Linked DNA regions of Arabidopsis thaliana. The protein of the gene in region 3 interacts with the protein of the main gene of each other region in a pairwise test. Each region holds a gene or a part of one and is shown on either strand. Other genes may lie near its edges.

Evidence for each region.
Region 1: the proteins of MLO13 (region 3) and CNGC13 interact in a protein complementation assay, tested with the Arabidopsis thaliana proteins (one large-scale study listed by BioGRID).
Region 2: the proteins of MLO13 (region 3) and CPK1 interact in a protein complementation assay, tested with the Arabidopsis thaliana proteins (one large-scale study listed by BioGRID).

What each region holds. Positions count from the first base shown.
Region 1 is NC_003075.7:433,717-440,861, forward strand, and holds CNGC13 (cyclic nucleotide-gated channel 13), read right to left. Parts: upstream 3,876-7,145; 5' UTR 3,688-3,875; exon of another isoform or gene 3,556-3,687; 5' UTR 3,527-3,555; coding exon 3,498-3,526; intron 3,372-3,497; coding exon 2,849-3,371; intron 2,776-2,848; coding exon 2,264-2,775; intron 2,138-2,263; coding exon 2,026-2,137; intron 1,936-2,025; coding exon 1,699-1,935; intron 1,611-1,698; coding exon 1,216-1,610; intron 1,136-1,215; coding exon 853-1,135; 3' UTR 501-852; downstream 1-500. Other genes in the region: AT4G01000 (Ubiquitin-like superfamily protein), read right to left, coding at 1-11; AT4G01020 (helicase domain-containing protein / IBR domain-containing protein / zinc finger protein-like protein), read left to right, coding at 5,370-6,329, 6,515-7,145. UniProt on the Arabidopsis thaliana protein: Putative cyclic nucleotide-gated ion channel.
Region 2 is NC_003076.8:1,416,064-1,424,105, reverse strand, and holds CPK1 (calcium dependent protein kinase 1), read left to right. Parts: upstream 1-3,551; 5' UTR 3,552-4,228; coding exon 4,229-5,141; intron 5,142-5,258; coding exon 5,259-5,402; intron 5,403-5,497; coding exon 5,498-5,650; intron 5,651-5,811; coding exon 5,812-5,927; intron 5,928-6,082; coding exon 6,083-6,250; intron 6,251-6,401; coding exon 6,402-6,626; intron 6,627-6,977; coding exon 6,978-7,091; 3' UTR 7,092-7,542; downstream 7,543-8,042. Other genes in the region: AT5G04885 (Glycosyl hydrolase family protein), read right to left, coding at 4-208, 512-756, 1,009-1,040. UniProt on the Arabidopsis thaliana protein: May play a role in signal transduction pathways that involve calcium as a second messenger. Phosphorylates the Ca(2+)-ATPase ACA2 resulting in the inhibition of its calcium activation.
Region 3 is NC_003075.7:12,572,815-12,581,267, forward strand, and holds MLO13 (Seven transmembrane MLO family protein), read right to left. Parts: upstream 4,770-8,453; 5' UTR 4,704-4,769; coding exon 4,584-4,703; intron 4,500-4,583; coding exon 4,442-4,499; intron 4,363-4,441; coding exon 4,151-4,362; intron 4,066-4,150; coding exon 3,949-4,065; intron 3,839-3,948; coding exon 3,784-3,838; intron 3,706-3,783; coding exon 3,590-3,705; intron 3,496-3,589; coding exon 3,421-3,495; intron 3,333-3,420; coding exon 3,244-3,332; intron 3,145-3,243; coding exon 3,054-3,144; intron 2,966-3,053; coding exon 2,759-2,965; intron 2,663-2,758; coding exon 2,595-2,662; coding exon of another isoform or gene 2,591-2,594; exon of another isoform or gene 2,512-2,590; coding exon 2,451-2,511; intron 2,362-2,450; coding exon 2,194-2,361; 3' UTR 1,905-2,193; downstream 1-1,904. Other genes in the region: WRKY7 (WRKY DNA-binding protein 7), read left to right, coding at 1-119, 473-632; GH9A3 (glycosyl hydrolase 9A3), read right to left, coding at 5,057-5,458, 5,540-5,712, 5,793-5,928, 6,015-6,479, 6,556-6,869, 6,947-7,319; AT4G24265 (homeobox protein), read right to left, coding at 7,926-8,366.

The DNA of each region.
Region 1 (7,145 bases), about 12 Mb from region 3:
TGATCCGCCATCGATTTTCGATTCAAAAGCTTGGACGAAGAAGAAGAAGTTCGATTTCTAGAGAGGAATCAGAGAGAAATTGGGGAAATTTGACGGAGCCCTAATAATAAGTCTCTCTCTCTCTCGCTGCTTGTTGGGCTAAGATTATTATCTTATCCACACTTTTGGGTTTATGACTGGGCTTTATATTGTCTGAATCTATGTCGGTCAGGAGAAATCGATTTTTTTTGTACAATTTGACCAAACTAATATCTATATATGATATGGTAAATGATGTATTATTAAGTAAAAATTATCTACAATTGAATCTTATAATAAATATATATATATGGAAAAATTACTCTTAGATAAAATAACATGATAAATTGTATGTTATTGGTTAAACATGTTATTTGTTTTTTTTTGGTCAAAACACACACATGAAAAAACAATTTTTAAATAAATTTGTTATATTTACTCCAAAGCTTTTAAAACTAAAAAAAAAATTAAGGTTACCTAAAGTTATCAAATTCATATATATAACCATGTTTTATTTTTATAAAGGTATCTTCAATAGTGATCTCTATATTTTCCTTTATTTATAGATATGACTCTATTTTAGAGGCTGCTCCAATGGTCACATGTAAAATAGAATTTTCTTTAAAATAGAGGAGATATCATCTCTATAAATAAAGATCTCTACATTTAGTCTCTATTTTTTTCCTATTTTTGAGGAAACTCTATTTTAAAAGTGACCATTGGAGCATCGTGCCTATAAAATAGGGTCACTAAATTTTTGTAATTAGTTTAAGCTTTAATGTCGTTGACACAATATTATATACAAGTGGTAAGTGGACATGTGTAAGAGATATTTTAAGGGTTTCGGAGACTGAAATCAGGCTCGGAGGGTTTAGGAGGTAGCAAAGGTAGGTTGTTTGTACGCAGATTGCGAAGCGCGTTTGAAGCAAACCGCGACGCGTATAACGTTGCAACCAGGCTAGACGAAGACGCCGCATTGCGTTCGCGTTTTGTGATCGCGTTTCGGAATCGATCTTCTTCTTCGGTTAATGATCTAGCTAGTTTCCTCCGGCAATGTCTCCGCCACGCCGCTTGTATGAAAGACGCACCCCAAGTTCTCCATTGAACCGAATAAAACCTGACAGTTAAACCGAATTAAACCAAACAGAACCGGAGATTGGAGAAGCAGAGAGATCAGTCAAAAGAGACCAAACAAACCTGAAAGTATGTTGAAGCTGTTTGCTATGTAGTCGTCTGAACTGTGAAGCAACAAGCTTGAGATCATCTGCTGCAAGAGCAAAGGCTTCTACTTCGGTTAAAGCTTGAACTGTTCTAGTCGATATCGGAAAATGAGACGAAGATTGAGGATCTAATGCCCATGTGAGAAGATCTTCGCCGCAAAAGTCACTAGGTTTTAGGTATACGGCGTTAAAGAAGCCGGTCCGGCCACCGTTTGTGGTGGCGCTCATCAGTTTTCCTCTCATGACAAACAACATCTCTTCCACTGGATCTCCTTCTCGAATTGCATAGCTGTTCTCGGTGTAGAGCACTGGTTTTAGCTTGTCACACACGGCATCTAGCAATTGCTCATCCATTATCTCGAACAGAGGTACCTATATATATTTGATTCGATCAATGATTATTTGAATGAAATGTCAAATTTGAGGATCAAAGAGATAAGGTGGAACTAGAAGCACTTACTTTCTTGAGAAGATCGAGGCAGAAATGGCGTTTGATGTCTCTCCTGAGGTCTTTAGGGAGATTACGCAGAAGGTTTTCTTCTTCTACTCCTCTAGTTTCCTGCCATTTGTACTGCTCATACCTTCTGATACGTTTCCTCAAGTCATCGGGTAACATTCGATGAGACATCCATTGCTCTGCATCTCTTTTTCTCACTCTCATCTCCTCTTCCCTCACTGTAGTTGATTCCAAGTATTTCTGTTATGGAAAGTGGAAACATCAGTAGTGTTTTATCTTCCTTGGGGATCAAGTAAGTGATGGAAAAAAGGCAGTGAAATGAATATATACCTGCATATTGCCGATAAGTAGTGCGAATAAGACTAGTCCAGATATACAAATTGATACAGCAAATATGATTTCCCCAACGAATTTGCTTGTATTGAGATTTTGTCCCAATGCACTGCAGCGAGTGAGAAACAGCAAGTGATCAGATTAGTGTTTCATGCTCAACATATCTTAGCCAGCCATCAAGTGTGTCACATGAATCCTAAATTACTAATAACTAGATAGAGAGAGTGTTACAAACCTTAAATTACGCAAACCCCACCAGAAGCAGTAGAAGAACTTCTTCCAGAAATCATCTGATTCAACAATCCCACTCTTTAAAGCATCAGTAAAGATACCAAAGTTGAAGACAGTTGAATTTGTTATATCATCAGGGTTGATAAACGGGCACGAGGTAGTCAGGAAATCGTTTCTAACACTACTGTTTCCATCGCAGTAGAGAAATCTAAAGTTACACACTTCTGGTATCTTCTCACAAGCTTCACGCCAGCATCTGTCTTCTCGTTCTACTGATATTAAGTACCATAAGGCTCCAAACACATGACTGGCTAACATATAGAGAGATAGGTTCCAAGCAGCTCCAGCCCAAGCGGTTTCAGTAACTATGCCAGATGTTCTTGTAACTTCAGTGTAAAGTGGATAGATACGAAGAATCCTTGGAATGTATTGAGTAAATATGACAGTTATCAAATAGTCCTTAGTGATCAAAGAGACCGGCTTGTTGACATTGGGGATGACAGCTAAGACTACAAGCTGCAGCAGATACAACAGAATATTAAAGAACCATCAAGAAGGAACTATAAAACCATTAGGAACTAAAGGTTACCTGTGGGAGTGGAAGGATAGAAAGAAGATCGATGATGAAGTAGGAGGAGAGGTACTTGATGGCTATAGCTTTAGGATCATCAACCAACTCGCCTCTTCCGAAAACACGAGAAGAAGGAGAGATATAAGCAGTTCTAAACTGAAACACAATGTGAATGATGTAGAAAGCATCTATAAACGTGCGAAGCACACTAGCTGCTATCTCCAAGTTACGATGCAAATTAAGACAGTGTCTTTCTCCATCAACAATAGGAATATAGAAAAACAATGGATCAATAGCCAAAGCAATCACTGAAGCAAAAAGAAAGATTTTGTTCCAGTTCTGTAAAAAAGATCCTTGTGGGTTTATAATATTCTTCTGTGTAGTGGTACTAGAATTAGAATCTCTCTTCTTATTATGTGAACCAAAACTTAAAGGTTTCTTAAGTCCTCTACGAACATTCTTCAAAACTGTGTTTAGAGATGGTCTAGCTTTATTTCTTCCGTAACCATACTCTGTTCCCTCTGAAATCCAATCTCTGAACCTAAACAAAAAATCATCAACAAAAAAGAATATTTTTTCTGAGAATCATTCATATCCATAGTTTCTCAGTAAATTCATTCTAAAAAAAAAAAAAGACAGAGATTAAAGAAAGCAAGCAAACAACAACCTTACACGATTGTTGCGGCCAAAAGCCATGAGTCAAGCTTTTTTTGCTATAACGGATCCTGAATCATAAGAACATCGATTTGATCGCTTTAATTCGTTATCCCCAAGTTTACAGTAACAGAAAAAAAAAAAAAAGAAGAAGAAGAAGAAACGGAAACTAAGAAATTAAAACATTTATATCCGAAACTGACCAGAACGTTGAAGTAACTGAGAGAAGCGATATAAGAAAGATTATAGTAAGAATTTTCCGATGATCTGAAATTGGGAAAATTCTCGAAATTAATTCTCTGAAGTTTTTTTTTGAAGCAGTCAAATAAGCTATCATCGTAGAGTCAAGCTTGGCATGGCGCTGGAAAATGGAGACTCCATTGGCAGTTTCTTCGAAATTGTGTGCATTTTACAATAAAAGACAAAAGAGAGGGAATTATTAAAGAGTCAAAAACATTTGATGGGCCTAACCTTAATTAAAAGCCCAATTCGATATTGAATTTGATTTTAAAATTCAGAACTTGTTATATATCAGACCAACACAGTAAACATCATAGATTCCAGTAATGCATCAGCTATAAACAGATCCTAGCAGTGTGAAATAGTAAATATGCTACGATTTAAAGGTTTGGATCCAAAGAATTTTACCAACTTCATAGCAGATTGTTCACACTCTACACTCAATAAGCCAAATGTAAACAAAAAGATGACCAAAGATCTTCACAAATCTACCATGAATCACAAAATCTATGAAGACAATGTGATTTAAAGCAAAGATCTTACAGTTTTTATGGGCTCTTAGTTAAATTTTGAGATAGTAAATTTTCATATAGGCCCAACCGCCCAAGTGAGCAATCTTGCAGGACTTTTGTGTTGTTTATGGCTTTTGTCTTGTCTGACTCATGAAATCTTGTTTTTTTTTGTAGATAAAAGAACGATAAATGACGCTTTTAAAACTTTTTAAAGACGAGAGTTCTAATAAAATTAGGAAATAATAATATATGATGTTGACAAAAAATGTAGAAAAATATATGAAATTTTTATTGGCACGAAAAATTTGTAGCGAACCGCATCATATCATCACTTATATAAGCAATATTTTTTGAAAATAACTCATTTGAATATCATTAATTAAGCAGATGAGAAAAAATGATATGAGGTTATTGAAATTTTTAACCAAATTGTTTTTTATATAAAACATGTAACACTTTCTGTTTGTTTTTTCTTTTATATAATTTTGTTAACACCTTTCTATATTTTCTGCTTTCAATATTTTCTATTTTCTTTTATTTTGAAATAGTATTTTTTTTTGTAGGGATTTGAAAATAGTTTTTTTTTTGTAGGGATTTTAAAATAGTTTTTGAAACTACTAACTAATTATTAATAAAATTCAATGCTTTGAATAAAATCTAAATGGTATACAAATATTAAACTTTACAAGAATATGAGTTAACTATTTAATACCTTTAAGATTTCATATTTACTTTTGATGATATGTACATTTTAATACGTATATGGCAATATCATTGGTAGATACACTATTTCTAACTTAAATTTTAAAATGTGGTAAAAACATAAAATTGAAATACTAAGAAATGTTACTTTAACACTTTTATCCTCAAATTTGGATTTCTGGATGTTTCTATAGGTCGAACCAATAATTAAAGAATTGATAGTAACAAAATGGGTTTTAATATTGATTAGAAGAAAATTAAATTAGGTTAAAGAAAAAGGAAAGAGTAGACGAAAAGTTAAATAAATTTTAATAGGGTTTTAATATTGATTGATATAACTCTCTGACTCTTCTGTGACTCTTTTCAACTTCTGACTCTTTCTCTTTCGCTCTCTCATTCTTAACAAGAAAAAAAACTGGCATCATCTCATCATGAGGAACTCTTTTCCTCCTTCAGACGGTGGGAGATCGACGACTGATCGTCGTCAGCAGTCGTTTCCCTCATCCTCAACGAACCGTTATAACTCTCGCTCTGCACAATCTTCTCCGCCGCTCAACCACTGTACTACTTGGAACCAGCAACACTCTCAGTACCATAACACTAATTTCCCGCCAAATTACAGACGTGATCGTGCTCCGTCGTCGGGATTCTCTCCTCCAGTCACGCGGGCTAGGCCTAATTTCATCGTTCAGCTGCTTCACCCCGCCGCCGCTAACAGTGACACAAAGCTGTCTAAGAAGCAAGAGATCGAGAGTATCGCTTTGCTTTGCGAAATTCCGGAGGAATCAGTTCACGTGCCTCAATTTGGTTGTATCGCTGCAAGCTTCAGTTTTCGTCAGTGGGTCGATGCGCGTTCTGCCGTTGTGGCTCTTTGGGATTATCGTCTTCAAGGGAGACATGATTTTGTTCCTGAGCTGATTCCTAATGTTGTTGTTCCGTCTGACATGGACGAGCTTAAAGACAGGCTTCGTGATCTTTTCTCGTCTCATGTTCTTTCGCTTATGGAAAATGGACAAGGGGTCAAGAAGGTGAGAATGGAGATTGATGACAAGTCTCGTCAAGTTGCGTCCTTTTCGTCTAAAAGGGGTCTGAAATTTGAGGTTTTTGAGAAAAAGAAGGCTCTTGAAGCGGAGAGAGATTTGGTTGTGAATCGGCTTGACGAATTCAATAATGCCATGAAGAGCATTTTGCGATATCTCATAGGACAAGACGGGTATGAGTTTGATGTAGATGATGAAGATGACGAAGACGTGGCCGTGTTTTCTTTGGAAGGGGCCTATGATTGGAGACGTATTCATTATTTGATTCTTAGAGAGTGTCGAAGGCTAGAGGATGGACTGCCTATCTATGCCTACCGGCGGCAGATTTTGAAGAAAATTCATTGTGAACAGGTATCTTTAAGAATCTCCAAGTTGACAAGTGCTCTTTGGGTCCAAGCTAGTTTTGAATCACTTGAGTACAGATATTCGAGTTATGCTGTTGTCTTGTTGTACTAGTTCATATTGTCTGCTAAGGTTCAGTTTTATAAATGAGTCTGTGTTTGGTCATTTTGAATTGATTTTAATTGTGTTTGTAGATAATGGTGTTGATTGGAGAAACTGGTTCAGGGAAGAGCACTCAGTTAGTTCAGTTCCTTGCTGATTCCGGAGTTGCTGCTAGTGAGTCGATTGTTTGTACACAACCACGGAAGATTGCTGCCATGACATTGACTGATCGGGTCAGAGAAGAAAGCAGTGGTTGTTATGAGGAAAATACTGTTTCTTGTACTCCAACTTTTTCGTCTACTGAGGAGATTAGTTCCAAAGTTGTATACATGACGGATAATTGTCTGCTTCAGCACTACATGAAAGATCGGAGTTTGTCTGGCATTTCATGTGTTATTATTGACGAAGCTCATGAAAGAAGCTTAAACACGGACCTTCTTTTGGCATTGCTTAGAAAGTTGCTATCCAGAAGGATTGACCTGAGGCTTGTTATCATGTCTGCCACGGCTGACGCCAACCAACTTTCACAGTATTTGTTCGATTGTGGTATTCTTCATGTCAATGGGAGGAACTTTCCGGTGGAGATTGTATATTCCCCTAGTGGCACAGAAGAGAATTCTGTTGTTGGCCGCATTGCTTCATATGCTGGTGATGTTGTTAAGATGGCAGTGGAAATACATAAAACAGAGAAAGAAGGAACCATCCTTGCATTCTTGACTTCCC
Region 2 (8,042 bases), on a different chromosome or scaffold from region 3:
TGCCTAGTGGCTCCAAGACCAACATTGTGAGGGAAAATAGTAGCGTTATAGACATTGTTATGCCCGTGAACGGCATCAATGCCATATATCATAGGAATTCCCAAACGACTAACTAGAGCCCCCTTTTGGTACTCATTTATCATATCAACCCAATTCTGAGCACTTGCCTCAGGAAGTGGAGCGCTCCCACCACCACTCAATACACTGCCTGTACAGAACAAACAGACAACTTCAATTTTCAAGTTTCACAAATACAGATACTCAATACCAAGTCAAGTTACGCAGCTTATCTAGTTCTTTATTAACAAGATGATGAGAAACTGAAGTTCAATGAAAGCAAAAACTGAATGATATCCTCATTTCACCTAACAACACCAGTAGCACCGACCAGTTTTCTAAGGAAACCATACAAGATGCCCAAAATAAGGTTTAAATGAACCAATTAAACTAGCCAAGCAAGTAAGTAATCAGATTTCTGGAAATCTCCAAGAAAGATTGTTCTTTTACATACCGATGAAGTAATCTCTCATAATGTTGACAGTGGCAACACTTCTATCAATCTGCACCATCTGGCCAATCTTCTCTTCCAAAGTCATTCTACCAAACAAATCCGCAACTCGATCTGACACCGTCTGTTTCGGGTCCTTGTACAACAGATACTCTCCATCCCCATAACAACAAACCCACATACACATCCATAGAAGAACCCCAACGATTCTTACTGAATCTCTGCTCATCTTCGTAACAGGGGAAACTCTGGCAAAACAACAAAGACGGAAGAAACTCAAGATAAGAAAGACTTGTCACTTGTCAGCTTAAAAAAGAAACCCCCAAAATTGTGAAACCTTGGTGCTTATCAGCAGCCAACCAAGAAAACAAAAAAGCAACTTCGTTATTCATCAGTGACAAGAAAGAAGAAAAAAAGCAAAAATAAAAGCAAGCTTTTTAAGATTTACTGTTCGAATTTCAACAAAAGATTGAATAAGCACACGAATCCGTAAGAAGTACTTTCTCATTTTCTTATTTTCCAAACGAATCATTATAAAGCTACTAGCCTCATACAAGAAACCAAGAACCAAGCTAGCCAAGAAAACAAGAAATAAGAAGAAGCATACATTGGGGGTAAGGAAAAAGGCAAGATTCAACAGTAGAGAATGGAGGAAGAAAGAAGAACTTACATGTGAGAGTTAGGCAGAGCAAGACCAGAAAATATCTGATTCTTCTTCGCTGAGAATTTTTATATGAGAAAATAAAGAGTAGTTAATAAACGCTTTTAAGCAGATTTGAGAAAGAGAGAGAGAGTGTTAAAAGACGTTGATGCGGTTTTGTGTTGTTTTTATTGGGACGTGGGGTTGGCTCACGTTTTTCCACAAAACATCTGTACCAGTCTACACTGCATAATGATGCATAACGACGAACAAAGCGGCGTCGTTTTAGTTTTTTAAAAAAGTTTCTTTCTTTTTTGACTTCTTACTTTTTTTTATTACTGAAAAGTATCGTACTTGCTTTAACGTACCTTGGACACGTGTCAGTAGGCGGGAGAATCGGATTCCTCGACTCTTATCTCACGCTAAACCGGCGATTCTCCGCCTCCCGCCGCCGCTTCGTCTATCTCTATGGCCTCCGTTGCGAACACTGAACTGCTCAATACGCTTCTACTGTATCTTCCTCATAAGCCTTCGCGAGGTTTCTGAGTCGCTGCTCTGTGTATCCACCGCCGTAAAAAGCTCTCCTTTTTCCTCTCCGATTCTTCTTCTGTCGACTTTGTCTCCATCCTCGGATCATGATGACGGGAATAGGAGCCGTTTGATTGAGGTTAGGGATTTAAGTGCTTGTGATTGTTGAATTGTGGAAGAAAGGAGAGATTTTTCATGTTAATGAAACACTAGTACATATAGACGTTGTGAAGTTTGTTAGCCGTGATTCTATTGGATATTATTTCTGTACTAAGAGAGCATTAGCTAAAATTTCTGACAAGCTTAACTAATTCCAATTGTGTGAATCATTTGCATCATTGCTGATATTTCCTAACTAATATTATGAAAGGTTGAGGCTCGTAAGTTTTTTGCTTATGAACACATTTTTTCAAGGTAAGTTTCTCAATCTTCATGTTGTTGAAACATATGATTCCTAGAGTATCTCTACTCGTACCCCTCTCATAAATCATTGTGTTTAAAGCCGAGCATCTGCATGATATGTAAGGATCTCTTGCGGTTCTCTTCTTGAGTCTCCAAACTCCAGTTGAGATCCCTGGTGTTAGCAATATGGATTTTCTCGAGAATATAGTATTTGATGCTAGGAACAGAAAACCTGGTCAGCCAAAGATTGAGCCAATGTAGGTGTCTTCGCGCATTAGTCAGTTAGATGGTTTTGGACTGTTACTTAGTTGATGGTGCACACTCATATATCTGATATAGAATTGTGTTCATGCAGTTGGAGGATTTAGAGGTGGCGAAAAGAAGCATAAAGAGATTCTTCCATTTCCAAGCGCAACACATGATAAGAAAGGTGAGGGTTTTCTTACCTTATTTTCCGGTCAATGGAAGACACACACTTGAATACCGTCATTTCCCTTTCCCACACTTGTTCTCTATTAGTGTCATAAACAGAATGCCGAATAGGTTACTTTTCATTTTATAGTCATGACTAGGAAATTTTGTTCCTCATAGCAAGATATGGAAACAGTTGTCAATTTAATTTCGTCATAGTGAAAAGGATCAATCAAGGAACAAGTACGGAAAAGATTGAGAATCTCTGTAATAAGGATCATCTGTTTTTGGAGGTCCTTGGATGTTTACTTGATCAGGACGTGGCAGAGGCAATGAACAGACTTTTGTCACCAAAAAACGCTGTTGTGATGATTGATAATCTACTATCAGAACATACTGCACTACATCAAACCAAGTCTCATACACATCATAGTGAGCGTCTTTGCCACAAATCATATCTTCTTAAATACTGATTCAAACCACCATCTCTTGATAACAATAGTGAGCTTCGTTTTTGTTTTAGGCAAGCATTCTTTCCATATCAAATCAATAACAGAGTGTCCAGAGATTCATACCGTTCTATTGCAGTAGGGACATCTCATTGGCTTATCTACTGGAAAAAGGAAGGGTGCTTGAGTGTTCCGTTAGGACCAGCAAAAACAATGGAAAGTGGTGATCATGATGTTTAGAACACCAAACTCGCCGTCTCTACAATATTAGTTCTGGTCTAGGTTTTGATCTTCAATAATAGCTGTGGTCGGAAGGAGTAATTAGGGTAAAACATAAGGGCGAAGACAAGAATGTGTAGAGCATGTGATTTGTTCAAGCTTTAACATGTGGATGTCTTATTTTTAATGACTGCTCTTTAATATGTGGGTTTTGTTTGCGCATTTTTCACTTGCGGGTTATATTTTTCAAAAGTAGTAAATGATGGGACCATTATAAAAAGGATGTTATTAGGACTCCAGAAAGGAAATTGATTTTATGGAAAATCACCTTTTTACCTCAAAGTTTTAATATATTACTAATTAAGTACCCTTACATAAGAAGCTGCGTTGCCAAGATTGAAGAGGGTGGTGGACTTTGTAATCAAAGATTAATTAAAAAGAGAGTTAAGACAAATCTCAGCGGAAAACTCGGCGGTGATAGATAATCAAAACAAAAGAAACGCGTTTTTCAAACTGGTTCAATCTTCTTCTTCGTCTTTCTTCATCGTCTTCTTCTCTATACAGACCTTGACTCTCTCATTAAATTAACAAATGTCCCTACGGTTTATGCAAGTGTAGTGCTATTAAACTATCCCTTTTATTTTCCCACCCAACTCAATTTATTTTCTCATTCTTTCTCTTTACTCTTCTTCAGATCTCTCTGTTTCTTTCTTTGTTGTTGTTATCTGGGGATGCTTTCTACTCTCTGTTTGGTTTCCTTCATTGTGACTTTCTATTTTCTGGGTTTGTTTCAAGTCATGATTTTTCCGATACCCTTTTGATTTTTCTTGCTATTTCTCACCTCTGTATAAGCAAGCTCTCTGCTGTTTCTCCTCATCCAAGTTGGGTTTATCAGTTCAGCTGTGTAGAAATTCAATCGTCTGAGAAGTCCGAGGTTTGATGTCTGATGGTTTTAAGATCGAAAGGATTTGACTTTTATCAGATTAGTAATGAGATTAGATTGTTTTTGAGGTTATTGTAATCAGATCTTGATGCTATTTCTGGTGAAAGAGATTTAAGACAAGTTAGGGAATGGGTAATACTTGTGTTGGACCAAGCAGAAATGGCTTCTTGCAATCTGTTTCAGCTGCAATGTGGCGGCCAAGAGATGGAGATGATTCGGCTTCCATGAGTAATGGAGATATTGCAAGTGAAGCTGTTTCGGGAGAGCTTCGATCTCGATTATCTGATGAAGTCCAGAATAAACCTCCTGAACAGGTCACAATGCCGAAGCCAGGGACTGACGTCGAGACCAAGGACAGAGAGATTCGAACTGAAAGCAAGCCTGAAACGCTAGAGGAGATAAGCCTTGAGTCCAAACCAGAGACTAAGCAGGAGACCAAGTCAGAGACCAAGCCGGAGTCAAAACCTGATCCTCCAGCTAAACCTAAGAAGCCTAAACACATGAAGAGAGTGTCAAGTGCAGGGCTTAGGACTGAGTCAGTGTTGCAGAGGAAGACTGAAAACTTCAAGGAATTCTATTCCTTGGGAAGGAAACTCGGACAAGGGCAATTTGGGACGACTTTTTTATGTGTCGAGAAGACTACGGGGAAGGAGTTTGCCTGCAAGTCGATTGCTAAGAGGAAGCTATTGACTGATGAGGACGTTGAGGATGTGAGAAGAGAAATTCAGATAATGCATCACTTGGCTGGTCACCCTAATGTCATCTCCATCAAAGGAGCTTATGAGGATGTTGTGGCAGTGCACCTTGTAATGGAGTGTTGTGCAGGCGGCGAGCTTTTTGACAGGATCATTCAACGCGGTCACTACACAGAGAGGAAAGCGGCTGAGCTCACTAGAACCATTGTTGGGGTTGTAGAGGCTTGCCATTCTCTTGGTGTTATGCATCGAGACCTCAAGCCCGAGAATTTTCTGTTTGTCAGTAAACACGAAGATTCCCTCTTGAAGACGATTGATTTTGGACTCTCCATGTTCTTTAAACCAGGTTTGATTTCATTGTTACTCATCTTAAAAGATCCACTTCCAGATTTGGTCTTTAACGTGAATAGTGTGATCCTTGTCGAACAATTATTTCTGAACTCGATTCCCTTCCTCTTTGCAGACGATGTTTTTACAGATGTTGTTGGTAGCCCATATTATGTTGCCCCAGAAGTTCTTCGAAAGCGTTATGGCCCTGAAGCTGATGTCTGGAGTGCTGGAGTGATTGTGTACATTTTATTAAGCGGAGTTCCTCCATTCTGGGCTGGTAAGAATTGTATATATACAGATAAGAGATTTGTCACTTTTCCTAACTAGGCTCTGAACAACATCTCTAATCTTTTTGTTTCTTTGAACATTCAGAAACCGAACAAGGTATTTTCGAACAGGTCCTCCACGGTGATCTTGACTTTTCGTCCGATCCATGGCCAAGTATATCTGAAAGTGCAAAGGATTTAGTGAGGAAAATGCTTGTCAGGGATCCCAAGAAAAGGTTAACTGCCCACCAAGTATTATGTAAGTTATTTTGATCTGAAACCTTCTCTTCCAGTTAAAGCGCTGTGATTCTCTTTCTGTTAATTCCATTGAGCATAGATTTCACTACATGAATAAAGTGTGTTGTCATGTAGAGTGATCTACCATCGTTCTATCTCTTATGGAGTTGTGCTTCTTCTCAGGTCATCCATGGGTTCAAGTCGACGGTGTGGCTCCAGACAAGCCTTTGGATTCTGCTGTTCTGAGCCGTATGAAGCAGTTTTCTGCAATGAACAAGTTCAAGAAAATGGCTCTTAGAGTAAGCAGCTTTCCGATGCTAAACAAAATTTAAAACCATATAAAAGAAGTTCCTGTCATAAACATAAGATAGCTACATTTAACCCATCTTCCTCTTGTTATGTGGAAAGAAAGAGACGACGGAGATTAAGTTTCTCTCTTTATGCCTTTTTGCAGGTCATTGCTGAGAGCTTATCTGAAGAAGAAATCGCCGGCTTGAAAGAAATGTTTAATATGATAGATGCGGACAAGAGTGGTCAGATAACTTTCGAAGAACTGAAAGCAGGACTAAAACGAGTAGGGGCGAATCTCAAAGAGTCTGAAATTCTCGACTTGATGCAAGCTGTAAGTTTTAACCGGCATACCAGTTCCCTAACTAAGATTCTGAACTGATCTTGTTATCATTCAAACTTACTCTGTTGGTTGTGGTTATATACTTCTGTTTTTGCTAGATATGCAAGTAATCTGGTTTCTCTCTCATGTGTATATAATTCAGGCTGATGTGGACAACAGCGGAACAATAGATTACAAAGAGTTCATAGCTGCAACATTACATCTAAACAAAATAGAGAGAGAGGACCATTTGTTTGCAGCCTTTACATACTTTGACAAAGATGGGAGCGGCTATATCACCCCAGACGAGCTTCAACAAGCTTGTGAGGAGTTTGGTGTTGAGGATGTCCGCATAGAAGAACTGATGCGCGATGTTGATCAAGACAATGTAAGTTCCTTTACACCTTTTATCATCTCATCCTAATTATAAAATGACTTGAATACTTCTCAACAATGATCAAATTTCAATGGATTATATACATTTTACTCATAGGAATCTCACTTATATGATCCTCTTAAATCCTTGCATTATTAAAACTACACTTCACTTACCGAGTTTTCATGTCTGTTTTCTTGGGAAAACTGAGACGATTGAGTATGATTCTTGTTAAACCTAGGGGGATAGTAGAAACTCTCTTTCCTGAGAAACAGTGAAGTAAACCGAGTTTTCATGTCGGTTTTGGATTGATATATTGGTTGAATGTTGATAATGTTGAACATTTGAATTGTTGTATTGTAGGACGGGCGAATAGACTACAACGAGTTTGTGGCGATGATGCAGAAAGGAAGCATCACAGGAGGACCTGTGAAAATGGGTCTAGAGAAAAGCTTTAGCATTGCTCTTAAACTCTAGTTTCTCAGTCTATTTAAAAGTACAAAACTAAAGCCAAGAAGACAAAAGAGTTTTCTGATAATATATACCATTTTGATTATGTTGAAGACATATGCACACAGCCAAGATTCTCTCTTGCCCTCTTTTGGATTCTCTCAATCTTTTGGATGAGGTTTTGTCTTAGACTTGTTTTGGAAACTTTGTTGTATTGTGTTACTTCTTGAGCATATATAGTCTTCTAACATTACAAACCACGATTTCTTGTCTGTAAGTAAATTCAAAGAGTCAAAAAACTTGAACACGATTTGGAAATTTTGCGATAACGATCATCAAATTTTTGTGAGGGCTTTTTCTTGTAAAGCAAAAAGTTTGAGTATTTATGTGAAAATCGTTTAAAAGTTGAGGTACTTCTATGTAATTTCCCAGTTTTCTTTTTTTGAGAAATAAAATAACTTAACCGAATTTCAATTAATTTGTTGTCCGAATTATATAATTCAAGTCCTTACCGAATCTAAGCTGAAATCAAATTAAATTATAAGCAGATAATTAAATTGGTCACCGAAAATAATAGCCACCAAACCTCCTAATCCTAAACACGTAGTATTTTGAGATCTTTATTTTCCATTTACATAATTAATTTCTTTTTTATGATTGGAAAAAACGAATAAAATGATCTTTTAGCTAGTGTTTTTGGTCAACATAAATACCTAACTTACTCTTTAGAACAACAAAAAAAATGGAGGAAAAATATAAAAGTGGGTCTCACAATCAAGTTATTTCTCCAAAAATAAATAATTTAAAGCTTGCGTTTGTTGTTGACATTTAAAAATGTTTATTTTGGGGTACGACTTTTTAATTTATAAAATTATTAAATTGGTTTTATTTAAATAAACTGATTAAATTGTCTATTTCAAAACTGCGTCCCTATCCCTTTTAAATTTCCTAATTTCAGTCCACAAAACGTGATCATGA
Region 3 (8,453 bases):
AGAGTAAAAAGAGTGATTAGAGTTCCAGCAGTAAGTAGCAAAATGGCTGATATACCATCAGATGAGTTTTCATGGAGAAAATATGGTCAAAAACCAATCAAAGGCTCTCCTCATCCTCGGTAATTATTTTTTACATTTTTTACCATCGATATATATACTCTACACATACATCACAATCACTCACTAGATTCAACACCAAAAATCAAATATTGGCTAGAAAATTAAGCAACTTGTGTATTGTCAATATTAGTACCAGAGAGATTGTCAATATTGTTTTTTTCTATATCGGTTGTACCAAACATGTTGTCTAGTAGTACAGTAGTGGGTTCAGTTTCACGCTCTTTTTGACTTGTTGTTTCCTATAGAATAAATTTGAAATAGAAAGCCGAGAGTTAAGTTGACTATTTCTTTTCTCATTAATTAATAAGAACTCGAACTAACTGGGGAGGACTCGGTGTAATGGTTATGACAGGGGATATTACAAGTGCAGCAGTGTAAGAGGTTGTCCGGCGCGTAAGCATGTGGAGCGTGCACTAGATGATGCGATGATGCTAATCGTGACGTACGAAGGAGACCACAACCATGCTTTGGTTCTCGAGACGACGACGATGAATCATGACAAAACTCTTTAGTTTCTCGAGTTTGAGGGGAACTGTCTGTGTGTGACCACTATCCAGATTAGTCAACGACAGAGTGGGCCCGCACTGCACTTTTTTATTCTTTTCTTTTTGAAAAGCTTTTGCTTTATCTTTCTTTTTGATTGGAGGAAATAGAGGGAGGGGAGATAAAGACGAGAGAGGAACGTTGTGGATCTTGATGGAAGTTGAATCATGTGAATGTCCTTTTCTGTTTATTTATTTCTAGGATAATATATATTTAGTGCACTATTTTTGTCAAATCTCTGATTCTTTTCTTACTTGCAGAACTATTTGAGTTTTTAGGGAAATTATCAGTTAATTTAGATTCAACTGACCATAATGCTATGCTGGTAATTGGAAAAAATTGCAATTCAAATTTCGTTAAACAAAAAAAAAAAGAACTATTTGTAGATTACATAGTCAAATCAACTTAACACACGTTTATAGAAACTAGAAAAGTTGTCGATCAAATAATAAGTAGCTCTAATAAGTATTTATTTCAGCATTAGTGAAAAACCTCAGATGCAATGTCGTTATCCTTTTAAGTGTGTTTTTTCCAACAAAGTTGACAATGTTTATGATTATGTTAACGGCTATAAATTCAAGTGTAAAGTACTTCAACATTTAGTAAAAAATTTAAAGCTTTACTACAAAATTTTGTTACCAAGAAAATCAGCTATTCATGCATCATTGCGTTATAACTCTTCAATATCACTTTTAAGTGATGTTTTAGAGACTTTTTTTAAAAAGATGTTTTAAAATTTTTTAGACCAATCATATTTTAGAGTATGTTATCTAATTAGTTAAAATTTGTTTAATTGTATTATATGTAAAAGAGGTAGGATTAAAGTGATACACAAATTATGTGTTTTCTTAATTTGTGTATAAAACCTTTAAACATCACTTAAAGTGATACAAAAAGAGTATTTTACAACATATCCATTAATAGAATTTAAAAAGTCATTCACTTAGTCAAAAAAAAAAAAAAGCATTCCATATTTTTTATTTTATTTTAGAGATTAGTAAAAGAAAACGTTCAAATGCAATGTTATTTAGTATTTTTCTCCCTTACAAAGTTAACGACCTTTTTAGAAATTCTATAACGTCTACAAATCGTTTTAAGTATTAAATTGAAAAATGACAATGAGTTCGAGTAATTTGTTATTGTTAAAATATAAAATTTATCTTATTTAAAAGCAATTCTAAAGTTCTTCTCTTTAGAAGATGGGATAAATTTATCTTATCAACAAAAAAAGGTACTTATATAAAAATTTAAATTTGCCACTCTGAAAAATTAAGCTACATCCGATAACATCATTGAAAATTTAAACGTTGTGAAAGTAAATAACATAGAAGCTTTTTAATTATATATCAATCCATGTATCATCGAAGCTTTCTTATAAAAAGTAACAAGTCAACTTAATCTAGTAGCCTCAAAAGTAGAAAGGAACGTTGGCGTCAATGTCATAGATGCACACAATCCTCTGATGAGAGCTCTAAATGTGAAATAATAAAGGGATAGCCTTATTGGATTACGACACAAATTGCAACTTAATTAAGGGTTTTCACTTTGGACATTATAAGATTCAGGAGTTGTAGGTTGCATCTCTATCCTATGAGCCTCGCTCGTGGATTCGCCTCTGTTCCTCGTATCTTCTAACCATCCTTCCAGTGTGGACTGTACTACATTGTCGAATATCCCTTTCTTGAATTTGCTACCCATCTTTTAAAAACCGAGCAAAACAACAACAACAATTGATTCAAATTTGTTGTGAATTGGTGTAAACATGTGAATATATATGTGTCACTTACTTGTGTAACAAGGGCATATAGTGGTAATGTGCTGTAACTGCAAAGCACTTGGACTAACACTCTGTATGAACAAAGATCGAACCAAAAATATTAATTAGACCTTTTGAAGGTTGATATTTAGATTTAAAAGAGTTCATATATTACCCCATGACGAGTCTTGGGATAAGGTAGCCTAGTTTCTCCATGATACATGAATGTATTCCGTATGTGAACTGATGATACGATGGATAACTCGTAAATAAGAATGCGATGGTTCAAAAATTGTGGAAGATAAAGAAAGTGAAGCTGAGGGTTGAAAGAAAACGTACCAAAATCCAGAAGAAGAAAGCAATCTCAAATGAATTCTGAAAGAGAATGAAATGGATGAGTTGGAGAACAATGCCTGGCCTATGGAACCAAAAGAGTTCATCAGAAGGTGTGATCACTGCTTCTTCCGCGCGGCTTCGCTTCTCGGAAACATCCAAAGCTAAGCTACTTATTATATATTCCAACTTGGCACCCACCATTAGTAACAACTGCATTTTTGAAACACTTTTTAACTATTCAAAAAGATAAAATGAGATCAAAAGTGACAAAAGAGCCCAATCATATATAAGAACTTACAATCAAAGGCAAGAAAGATAACCAGAAGTAAGTGTTCCATCCTCCAACATTGAGCAGCAAAAAGACGACGACAAAGAGCCATAGATACCAACTTTATAATTATGTATGACATCAACAAAAAGGTGTCAGACAAAACTCATTAAGCCATAAATTGGTTTGTCTGTTTAGAGAGCTGATTTGATTATTTTACCTTATGCTCACAACTTTCTTGAAATCTATTTCCAGTGTTCTTAGCATGTACTTGTGAAAATCAAATGATGGGTTTGTGCGGCAATGACTCTAGCAAGGTAAGAAAAGTATAAGTATTGTTACATAAGAGATTTAGTAACCTAAATAAGATGTTGGAATAAGACAGTAAAAGTAAGACCATGATGAATGCTTGTCGCAGAGCTATGTATTCTGATTTGGTGACAGAACCATAAAACTGCTTGAAGAATGATCTCTGCAACAAACAGTACACATTGGCTAATCTCATTAGAATATAATTTGATTCATGTGTTATACTTTTGGCAGTAGTATATATATCCATTACTCACCACCCAGCTGATGACAACAGATCTTCTCCAAAATCCTCCAGCATGCATCTCGAAGAACTCGTGATTTGCACTGAATAACTCGTGAGCATGAGCATGATGACCACGCCTTGTAGTGCCTGCGACATTATGTTATGTACTTTGCGTGTGTTAAGGTACAAAGTAACTGTTAATTACTATTGTGGAATCTCGCTCACCCTTTTGAGAAGGACGTTTCTTGAACCAATCCTCCCAATGTTTCCATTGTTGTATCTACATATTATTTCACATCAATAAAATTAATCAGAGCCAGCTTTTGAAATAAAGGGGTTTAATGTTGTTTGGTAACTTGAGCAAAAAGCTATAAAAGCAAGTGGTATTACTCTTGCTCCTCCAAGAACCATGGTTGAGGCGCAGAAGATGACGTGAAAAACCGCTAGCACAAAGATGAAGATATGGAGTTGATGCAACGCTTCCACAGATACTAATGGAACCTGCCCCTGCAGCCATACCAAGAGATCAATGGTTAATAGAAAGAGATCCAGTAAGAGAAAGGAAACTAGCAAAACAGCAAAGAATGATTGCCTTGGCAGCACAATGGTCTGGACTTTCTCCTGTTGAAAGGAGATGTCGTGCATTGTTGATAATCGAATGAGATGATTTAGGCGCATGATGCTCCTCCAATGGCTTCTTACAGGGAAACATGTTGTTTACAAGAGCTGGTGGGACACAGATATGCCGAATTGCGGCCTGAGATACCGTTAACATCAGGGAGATAAATCCAAGAAGCATCAATTCTGTGTCAGGACATCAATATGGTCAGGTGTCAGGTGTAATCAAATCAACCATTTCATGTTTAGGGAAGAAGTACAATACCTTCTTTGAGTTTCTGCAAGGCTTCGAACAAGGCATCTTGTTGCCTACGCTTCAGACACTGAAACAGAGAGAACGGAAAGTTGGAAAAAGATTTTAACTTAAAACCTCAAGATTACTACAAACAGAGATAGTGATATTGGACCTTTCCAAGATGATGAAGACCACGTTCAGCGAGAAGAGATAAGAGAACAATGATGAAACAGATAAACGCAACGACCCATGTGGGTGTATACTCAAGAGAACCAGACCTTGCTTCTGCCATTTCTGCACCTCCAAGATGGAGACAACTCTGAATTAATATTATTATTATTTAAGGCAGAGAATAAACGCGGAAGAAGACGAGGGAAAAGAATAGAGAGAAAGAACAACATTTGGGTTATCTATCTATTACTAAAGCACAAAACCTTTCTTCGGTCTCACTCAACTGCTTACAAAATAGAAAACAAAGAATAATACACTGTATACCTCACAAACCCAGAGAGAAAACAATAAATGTTTGGTTTCTCAGACCGCATTTTTTGTATTAAGCTAAAGAAAACTACTTTTTCTGACTTGAAGCTACGTTTTATTAAGGCAAAAAAATGACTTATTACATTCGAAAAGTTTTATTTTTCTTCAAGGTGTCCAAGGTGCTGGAGGCGGCGGTGTAGCCATAACCAATGGAGGTACGGCAGAGAACATAGTGTTTTTGTCAATACCACCAACCGCTTTTTCCCCTGATAAAGCCACCAGAGCGGCGACTAGACCAGCATTTCCCGCTAGAGTCGGCTCTGTATAGTTGTAATTTGTTCGTATGTCGTGGAATCCGTCATGCTTGTCTGGTCCAGCAACCATTGCTCCATTAATAGCGTTTGGGTTATTCTTTTTGCTCTTTTTCCATTTAAATCCTCCTGTGCAGGTTTCTTTCATGTTCTTTGGAATTGAAGCTCCTCTGTGATGCACTTGTTTCGGGTACCGTTGCCCATAACCCACAACATAACTCATCTTCCGAGGGTTTTTACCAAGTATATAATCAATCTGCCAAAACAAAAGACACAAAGTTCCATCAGATAAGCTCCTTCAAAATCTTGTTTGTTTTCCTTCATTTGTGAATCATACCTGCGATCTTGAAAAGTTGCGTAGGAATTCAGTAGTATAGAAGTTAGGACCACAGTACCATCCGGGAGTATCAGCAGCCTCTAGATAATCACTGAATAGTGCCGCTAAGAAAGCCGCATTTGCAACATATTGAAGAGGCTGTGGAGCTCCATGGTTCAACTGAATCAAACCTCCTGCAGAGATGATACCGAGATTATTTTCTTGATCACGTTTTCAAAACGTGTGCAAATCCTCAAATTCACAGACAACTCACCATTGGTTCTGTTAAATTTCTTGTAATAAGGCAAGTAAGAGCACATAACTCTGCCTGTTTGGTTATGAAATTCGCTTAACATGTCTTCATATGGATATCCAGGGCTCAGAAACAGCCTCATCCGTGTTAACAGCAACTTCAAAAGACCACATAAATCCAGAAACTAAGCATTGACTACAAATTCCAAAAACAGAACAAAGAATGTCTCATAGAGTAACTAACCTGAGCCCCTGGAAGCTTGTTGTCCCAGCTAAATACGCCATAATAAGGACTATTCCCGAAGGCACCAGCTTTCTCAGCCATGTGGTGACTGGTAACTCGTTCTAGATAAGTTACATTTCCAGTAGCATAATACAGCCAAGCACCACCCCATAATAGCTCATCCTCAAACATGCTAGAGTTATAAAATTTGCTAGACTCTTTACCATTTTGACTGTATCTATTCCTAGAAGTAGTTGCAAACCTATAAAGCGTCTTAGCACCATGAACAAGATTTTTCGAATATAATCTGTTGTCCTTGAATACAATGGATGCAGAAGCCAGAGCAGCTGCCATCTCTGCAGCAAGATCAGAGCAGCTACTGTAACATTGAGATACAGTCCTTTTATAATGAATATCCTCAGGACGCATCCAACAGTAATGGTCATTGTGCAATTCACTTCCTCTACCGCTAACTCCAGATCCGACCTATGAAAAAGCAAACGTTAGTAGCTGAAACAGCGAAGTAAGTAAGTTTTTCTAAACTCTGTTTTTTTTTTCTTACCTGTTCCACCATAACATAGATGTTATCAGCACTACTATTGAAAGTCTTGAGAAAGTAGTCAGTTCCCCATTTGATGAGTTCTTTAACATGTTCAAGCTCGCCAGCAGCTTGGTACTTTGCGCTGTATTCGATTACACTCCAGCTCAACATAGTCATAGCATAAGACATTGGGAAGTTGAATTTGATAGAATCTCCAGCATCATAGTAACCTCCTACCAAATCTTTGTAGCATTGTCCTGGATCTCCCTTACCATCTTGTAGACAAGAATCATGCCTCCATGATACATTATAAATGTTCTTTGGAAGTTTCCCAGCTGCAAAGCAACATCAACATCACATAAGAAATCAAAATTGAGACATGAAGAAAAAATCTCAAAGTTTTAGTGCTTACATTGTTGAGCATTGAAGAACTTGAGAGCTGTACGGAGAGCGATAGTGTAATTATCCGGTGGTGGTTCCTTGTGGTGGTGGTGTGGCAATGTTTTAACGATCAAAGTTATGAATCCAGAGAGAAGAGCAGTTACTACAATGGTTCCAAGAGTCCAAAGAAAGATCTTACGGCTGACTAAGATACATCCAAGATCGACGTACTTTTTCTTCTTAAGCACTTTTGGTCCAAGAAGCCAACTCTGTTGCGTTTCGTCGAGTGGCCGCGAAGGAGTCGCACGGTCAAGGTCTTGTAGGTTTCGACTACGATCGTCGTCTGTCATGGAGTCCGCCGCATTGATCTCTAGAGGACCACCCCATGGATCACGTCCGTACATAATGATCAGTCAAAATCCGATGAGATTTGCTGAAATTTCTGAGGGAAGAGGAAGAGGAAGAGTTTTGGAGTGTTCCTGTGGTTTTAGGGTAAGTGAGGCGTGTGTGATGTGGAAAGTGCAAGTGAAGAAGTGTAAGTTAACTCAGTATTTTGCCACGTGGAATTCATTCGGTCGTGCATTGGACTTTATGTCCTTTTTTAAAAATATTACTTTAATTATTTTATAGCTGGAATTTGGTCCGTAGGCCCACTTTGTTGTTTTGGGTAATGTTTTAACGTCAGAAAACCAATTAGGTGAATTCATGATTTTATTGCAGAAGAAATGTTTGTCTGTAATCCACTTTGTTTTTATAATTAGAGGGTAAATGCATTTACGCCAGAAACCAATTAGGTGGATTTCACGACCTTATGTTATAAGATAAAAGAAAATTTCAAAATACCATCAAAAATTATTGTATTACAACCTGTTTTATTATTTTACATTTCTAAAAAGATTATGACCTTAACTCGATGCTTATGTAATTGAGAAGATGCAAAGATGATACACGTAACATGTTAAAAGATGTTGAATTATTCTCGCAAATTGGTTTCCATAAAACTGCTCAAATTACGGTATGAAACAACGAACTAGACTCGAACTTAACTCGATGACACAACCGAATATTCCCACTGATCTCTTTGCTGTAGCTGGTTCTACAAAGTGGACGTTACTAGTTGGATTCGGCACCATGTACTGTTGATAAGACTGGTAGATGCGAAGATCAGACACTTGAGACAACAACGGGGTTGCTTCAACGATGGTTTCTTCTTGTTGGTGAGGTAAGTGATGAGTAGTCCAAGGAAATGATGATGTCTCTGGGGGACAAAGACTCCGAGTCTCATCGAACCAATACGGAAGAGGAGGCGCTGTGGGCTCAACCAACACCGCTACTGCCGTGGAAGAGTACTCACAAGAGCAATGGTGAGGCTGAGATGGGCAAGCTTGCTTACGTTTCCTCTTCTTTCTTGACCAGAACGTGAGCTTCTTCATTGCTTTCATAATCTTCATTGAGTAATGTTAATGCTTAAGAAAATGGTCACTGCGTTTTGTATCAAAAGGATACTACTATTTTGTAACCGTTGAAGAACAAAAAGT